Macaca fascicularis: one gene and its partner. The protein of the gene in region 2 interacts with the protein of the main gene of each other region in a pairwise test. Links are inferred from orthologs where the notes say so. Each region holds a gene or a part of one and is shown on either strand. Other genes may lie near its edges.

The links. The genes of interacting proteins can lie anywhere in the genome.
Region 1: the proteins of MAPK3 (region 2) and DCC interact in a two-hybrid assay, tested with the Homo sapiens proteins (2 studies listed by BioGRID). The link is inferred for Macaca fascicularis from reciprocal best matches to the Homo sapiens genes MAPK3 and DCC.

The regions. Positions count from the first base shown.
Region 1 is NC_088392.1:37,292,749-37,296,499, reverse strand, and holds the start of DCC (netrin receptor DCC), read left to right. Parts: upstream 1-1,110; 5' UTR 1,111-1,491; coding exon 1,492-1,642; intron 1,643-3,751. UniProt on the Homo sapiens protein: Receptor for netrin required for axon guidance. Mediates axon attraction of neuronal growth cones in the developing nervous system upon ligand binding. Its association with UNC5 proteins may trigger signaling for axon repulsion.
Region 2 is NC_088394.1:27,975,672-27,979,290, reverse strand, and holds part of MAPK3 (mitogen-activated protein kinase 3), read right to left. Parts: intron 1,534-3,619; coding exon 1,344-1,533; intron 1,161-1,343; coding exon 1,044-1,160; intron 783-1,043; coding exon 668-782; intron 285-667; coding exon 153-284; intron 3-152; coding exon 1-2.

The DNA of each region.
Region 1 (3,751 bases), on a different chromosome or scaffold from region 2:
TGTTTCCCAGGCTGGAGTGCAGAAGTGCAATCACAGCCCACTACAGCCTTGAACTCCTGGGCTCAAGGGATTCTCCCACCTTAGCCTCCAAGTAGCTAGGACTACATGTGTTCACTACCATACCTAGCTAATTTTTTAAAGTGTTTTTTTTTTTTTTTTTTTTTTTTTTTTTTTTTTTTTAAGAGGCAGAGGTATTGCTACAGTGCCCGGCCTGGTTTCCAACTCTTGGTCTCAGGTGATCCTCCTGCCTTGGCCTCCCAAATCACTGAGATTACAGGTGTGGGCCACCACACCCAACCTCAGATTTGTAATTATTTTCCTTGCTACTTCTAATTTTTTTAAAAGCATAAGTCAGTGGGCAGCAGGTTTTGGAGGTCAGACCCGTAAGAATTATTTCTTGCAGCTTCCAGATCCCCATCCTAATGATGAACACCTGTGCTAGGCTTAGTCAAATTATACTGTTTCCCAGTAAACTCTGGTCTTCAAGGAAGCTGAAACCAGAGGAGCTCTAATAATACATGTTTTTAACCTGTGGTTTGGGCTTGAGCCAATGGCATCAAACAGAGAGCAGCTAAAATGAGCTGTTGCAAGTGAAGGTTTATCTAAAAAATAGTTAATGAAAAACTTTGAGAGCTGCAGGGATGCATGACAGATTGGCAACTCACTTTGAGAAAGAGACTATTCCCAGTTCCAAGTCCCAGACACACAGCCTGCGGGTAAGTCATCAGAAATAAAATAAGTGGGGAAACGGGACAGGGGAAAAACAGTACCCTCTAACATCTATCAACCATGCAAGCCAAAGCTAGTGATGAAGTTAAATAGACAACAATCCTTAGTGTTTATTTTCTGTTCAGTGAGGTTGCCAACCTGAGCTTCCAGAGGACTAACACCACAATTAAAGGCAGGCAGGTTCAGGGGAACACAATGAAAGATGGACCAAAACAGAGTATTTTGATGTTTAGATTGAAATCTACTATTGGCTAGGAAAGCGGTGTTTATTGTGTCTAAAGACAATAATACTATTATACATCCAGCAATTATGGTCACAAGGCCACTCAAACAAGTAGTGGTTTGTTTTGGTTGGAGAGAAAGAACCAAGGCTTTGCTTGCAGTATTGCTGGGTATATGGGTTTGGTTTTGTTGCAGTTTAGTGGGCTGTGGGCTTTTGCAGCCACCCTCAAAAGGATGAAGAAAATTTTAAACAGCTTCATGGTTGGTAACAGGAGTCCCCTGATCCCTTCAGGAAAACCAAAGATACTCAGGCCAGTAATTTAATCAGGAGAAGATTTATCAGCTGGAGTGACAGTTTTAAAGGCACAAACTCTCTGTGTGATTCTAAGCAGATATCGAGTCCAGTTGAGAAGCCAGTCAAACGGATAATTCTCGGAGTTCTCTACCAGCTATTCTGAGTCTGAGATCTGCCTTCTTATTCTGGCAAATCAGAACCAATGTTATTCTCCCAGATTTGGGGCATCATATCTATTATGGGTCATGGCGCCCCCTGAAGTCCAAGGCCTTTCATTTCCATCATCTACCTGGATTCCTGCCTGGTTATCTACTCTTCTGTTGAATGCAACCTATTCTACAATCCAGAGCTCAAACTATTCCACAACCCAGAGCTCTCTGGCCTCTCAGAGAAAAGGTAAGATTTCTAAACCTTTCCACAGATTCACATAAGTCAGGATATACCTTTAGATAGAAAATGTTAAGCTTCAGGCCACCCTCCCTGCTGAGTTCTAATGAGAATTCAGAGGCCAGCTTTCAGTGCATTCTGAGGAAGGAAAACGGTTCTCCTCTGTTGGCCCAGGAAACACACTATCAAATGCAAGCACCAATACTGAGGCTGATGAGTTGTATGATTCCAGGCAAACTGTAAATCCTTCCTGGGGTTCTCTATGCATTTCCCTTTAAAGTAGAAAAGAAAATAAATGCCTCCCTATTCTGCATGCTATTTGGGCAATAAAGTGCTACTGATTTGTGAACTTCAATAATAATAAAATAACATTGGAAAAACCTGCACCACCACCCCTACCCTCACCCCCGAAAAGACTTCAAACGTTTGATGAAGCTAGGGCTTCAAGCAAATTCGAAAAAAAAAAAAATCAATAATTTGAGCTCCTCCTAATTTTCCTGACAATCAATTTTCTCATAGGATGCTTATTTTCAGCTTTACAATCTGCCAACTAGCTCCTCCAAACCTCATTTGTGACCCCTTTACAGGGGAAACCTAGAGGTTAATTAACAGATGATTGTTAGTTCCTGAAAGTCGCCCTGTGATTTAGTCCCGAGGTGGCCTAAGCATCTCCATCCCTTGTTAGGAAAAGACTCTCTGGTTCAATATTAATTTCTGTAGCTTTTACAATTCTCATTGGGATTAACATTTAATCAACAGAGCAGTTTCCTTTTTATTTCATTATAGAAAAGTTTCAATAAAATAGAATGGTGCATTATACTGTAATGAATGACAAACACTGGTAAATTTTCATTTAAAAATCAGTAAGTTGAAACAAGCAGTTGTTTCATAACGGTTGGGTCATCTCAATTTAATGAACAGTAACTAAAAACACATTAAATAAATGCCTGAAATGGAAAGGGAGGCATAGTTATTGTCCCACGAGGCTGTGTGATCCTCTAAGAGAGGGCCTATGTTGTGTTAATTTTTCCTTAGCTGATGATTGGAGCAATACCAAGCAGTTACTCAATAAATACTTGCCAGATTGAATATATTAATAAATGCTTCTGTGTATAGAAAGGTATTTTCTTTTAGGAAAAAAGTTACTTCATTTTGCTAATTGCAGCCACCTCTCAATGAATGGGGATGATCACAAGGGATTATATATATATCTTCTTTTCCTTTTATAAATGTTTATAGTAGCGATTCTCAAACTTGTGCTTGCATGAAAATTATGTGGGGAGTGTGTAAAACAGTGATTTCTGGGCCCCACTATTAGAATTTCTGATTTAATATTCTGGGGAAGAGCTCCCAAAATGCATACTTCTAAATTCCCAGGAGATCTGATGCTGCATTCTGGAGATCACACTGAGAATCACTGGCTTATAGCATCTATCTGTATGGCATTGGTGGCAATTTCCATTTATTCATGTACAGGTGAAATCTTACCTAGAGCAGGTCCTCACACACAGAAAATACCTGGGGAACATTCGCTGACTGCACAGATAATTCCACCCTCATTGTGGGGAACGTAACACTATATTGCTGCTGTGTGCATAAATGGCTTTCATTCCTAGGCTCCCATCAGCTATGAAAGAGAGCATAGCAGTTTTCTGTTGGCCTTTTCTTTCATGTGATAAATTGCCATTAGAGTGCTACCCTAGGCATATATTAATTTCCTTGGGGATCTAACTTTGACTCTTCTGATGCCGCTCACAGTTGCTATAGCTGTGTGTATGACTCTTTGGCCCTTTCACACAGGGTGGCTGTCACTGAAGTAATAATAGAAGCCATTGCCATTAGAGCCTGCCAGTGGTATGGACTCTGTGACTCTACCTTTGAATTTGTATATTTTATTCCAATTAAACCTCTACATCTGTATTTGCTTTCATCTAGCAAACTGTTAATTGTAGGTGGCTTTGGATATATCTGATTGTGCTGGCCATGGAATATCTGTCCATCTCATGTAAAAAATGTGGGAAAATATTTTATTAGGAAAAGAATGGCCAAAATGGTTATGCGTTTTGATTGGGGTGTTTGATTTGTTTGCTTTTAAGTATTAGGGCTGGGCTTCAAGGC
Region 2 (3,619 bases):
GGCTATAGAAGGGCAGGAGTCAGGGGTCACAGGGAAGACTGGAGAAGCTCCCAGAAGCATCACTTTGCCTGTCTCCTCCAGCTGCTGCTGGGCTCCCGTACCCTCCATGGCACCCAGGGTTTATCCCACACCCGTCCTCATGTCTCTCAAACCTTTGGAGTCTGACTTGGGGAAAAGCTTGGCCCAAGCCACCTTGGTCTTGGAGGGCAGAGACTGTAGGTAGTTTCGGGCCTTCATGTTGATGATACAATTCAGGTCCTCCTGGGATGGGGAGCCCAGGATGCCTGTGGATAAGGAGGTGACTTGGTAAATGATCACCTCCTTCTTTCTGGGAACAGAACAGGCAACAAGGCAAGAACAAGACCCCCAGCCCAGCAACCCATGCCAATCCCTCAGTTACCTCCTAGTCATTAGCATGGTGGTGCAGAGCAAGGGGGCTGGATTCAGGCAGACCGAGGCTCAAATCCTAGGTCTGGTGCCTCCTTAGGTGTGGGACTTAGACTTGCTTTTCCCATCTATCCAATGGGGATAATATCTATACCTCATTGAGATACCATGAGATGCTGGAGGCGCCCCACACGTGGTGGTATCCCTGACTTGGACTCTTGAGAAATCTCACCTTGGAGAAGGTAATCATCCCCCACTCAGCCAGCCGGGCCTCCCTCACCCAGAATGTGGTTGAGCTGATCCAGGTAGTGCTTGCCAGGGAAGATGGGCCGGTTAGAGAGCATCTCAGCCAGAATGCAGCCCACAGACCAGATGTCGATGGACTTGGTATAGCCCTGGGAGAGAGGAGGAAGTGGTGGGCTCCTGGGCCAGCCTCAACAGGGTCCTGTTTCTACACCAAGCCACCATCTCCAAGTTAGATCCAACACCAGGCAGAAGGCAGAGGCCTGGAGGGCTCAATGCTCAGCTTCCTTGCAGAGCCCAAGGCCCAGAGGGTGGAATTCCTGTGTCATGGGGGTCGGTATCTGGCTCGGAGGTAGCTCCAGGGCTTCCTGGGACCTGGTCCCTTCCCTTCAGGAGTGGGCAGCCCCTCCTACCTTGGAGTTCAGCATGATCTCTGGGGCCCGGTACCAGCGTGTAGCCACATACTCCGTCAGGAAGCCGGTGTGGTCATGCTCAGGATCGGCAATCCGGGCCAGGCCGAAATCGCAAATCTGGAATCAGACCAAGCTGCTAAGCTCGGTGCTCAAGGCCTCTGCAGCTTAAGCAGTCACGCCCCCTTGTCTTTGCCTCCACTGTTCCCCTTGCTTGCAATGTTCTCCTGCCCAAGGCTTCTACTGGTCACCTGGAAGCCCCAGACCCTGGGGGAGGAGGGGACAGGTGCCCAACCCTCTGACCTTAAGGTCGCAGGTGGTGTTGATGAGCAGGTTGGAGGGCTTTAGATCCCGGTGGAGCACATTAGCGGAGTGGATGTACTTGAGGCCCCGCAGGATCTGGTAGAGGAAGTAGCAGATGTGGTCATTGCTCAGTTGCTGGCTTTTCAGCAACTTGTACAGGTCAGTCTCCATCAGGTCCTGCACAATGTAGCTGAGGATGGTTCCGGAGACCCCCGGGGAGGGGGCAGCGGGAGGCACTTGGTTAAGGAAAACAGGCTCTGAAGGCGAGGCTGCACATCTCCTCCAGCCAGGGCCCCTGGGACTCAATAGATCTGCCAACCTGCACCACCAGCTGGGCAAGCTGCTGCCGTTACCCAGCGGCAGGGCTCTGAGCCTCTGTCGCGTCACCGTTGCTGATCCTGAGCAAGGGGCTTCACTTCTGTGGCCTCAGTTTCCCTACCGGGGAAACAGGGATAATAATAAACTGTGGGAGGCCGGAGAACTTCACAGTTAAGAGCAGCAACTTGGGCCAGGAGTGGTGGGTCACGCCTGTAATCCCAGCACTTTGGGAGGCTGAGGCGGGAGGATCGCTTGAGGCCAGGAGTTTGAGACCACCAGCCTGGGCAACATGGCAAAACTCTGTCTCTACTGGTAATACCAAAATTAACTGGGGACAGTGGCATGTGCCTGTAATCCCAGCTACTCGGGAGGCTGCAACACGAGAATCACTTGAACCCGGGAGACAGATGTAGTGAGCCGAGATCATGTCACTGTACTCCAGCCTGGATGATAGAGTGAGACTCTGTTTCAAAAATAAATAAATAAATAAATTAAAAAAAGAAAACTACAAAAAGAGCAGCAACTCTGGACTTAACCCATGGAAGTCTGAAATCTCCTCTCTACTACTTACTGGCTTTAGGAGCTCAACCTGTCTGTGCCTCAACTTTCTCATCTGGTATGTAGGGGAAATAATGTGTTTTTTGTTTGTTTGTTTTCTTTTTATTTTATTTATTTATTTTTTTTGAGACGGAGTCTCGCTCTGTCACCCAGGCTGGAGTGCAGTGGCCGGATCTCAGATCACTGCAAGCTCCGCCTCCCGGGTTCACGCCATTCTCCTGCCTCAGCCTCCCGAGTAGCTGGGACTACAGGCGCCCGCCACCTTGCCCGGCTAAGTTTTTTGTATTTTTAGTAGAGACGGGGTTTCACCGTGTTAGCCAGGATGGTCTCGATCTCCTGACCTCGTGATCCGCCCATCTCGGCCTCCCAAAGTGCTGGGATTACAGGCTTGAGCCACCGCGCCCGGCCTGTTTGTTTTCTTTTTGTGGAGACGGGCTATTGCTATGTTGCCCAGGCAGGTCTTGAACTCATGGGTTCAAGTGTTCCTTCCACCTCGGCCTCCCAAAGTGCTGGAAATTACAGGTGCGAGCCATGAAATAATGGTTCTTTTGAGGGTGGTTGTGAAGACTAGATGAGATGGCGCATGTAAAACTGTCAGCCCAGTGCTAGGCAAGTTGTGAGTGCTAGGCAAACATGAACTATTATTACTAATATCAATGCCTGAGTCACATGGCTGTTGAGGGAGTTAAATGAGATAATGTATGAACACCATCTGGCATGCAATAAATGTTTGCTTAAAAATAAATGCCTGCCTTATGGGAATGGTTTGTGCAAGAAAAATGAGGAGACACTCCCAATAGCACACTCCCACTCAAAGAAGAGTGCTTGGCCATACCTCAGAAGATGGAGGAGTAAAATGTCTTTTTCTATTTGAAGATAAAACAAAGCTTATGCGTAAATAAATAAATAAATCCACAAATGCCGTTTGGCTTGTCTCTGGAAAAATAAGTCAGGGCTGTCTTTTAGAATCTGCCTTGAGGCCAGGTGCAGTGGCTCACACCTGTAATCCCAGCACTTCAGGAGGCCAAGATGGGTTGAAGACCTGAGGTCAGGGGTTCGAGGCCAGCCTGGCCAACAGGGCAAAACCCTGTCTCTACTGAAAATACAAAAATTATCTGGGCGTGGTGGCGGGCGCCTGTAGTCCCAGCTACTTGGAAGGCTGAGGCAGGAGAATAGCTTGAACCTGGGAGGTGGAGGTTGCCGTGAGCTGAGATCCAGCCACTGCACTCCAGCCTGGGTGACAGAGGGAGACTCCATCTCAAAAAGGAAAAAAAAGAAAATAAGAATCTGCCTTGAAAGGGTCTTCAGAGGATATGTGGACCAGCCCTGCTGTTTTAGAGCTGGGGAGGCCCAGCGAGACGCAGTGACTTGCTTCAGACCACACAGCGAGATGGGGGTGA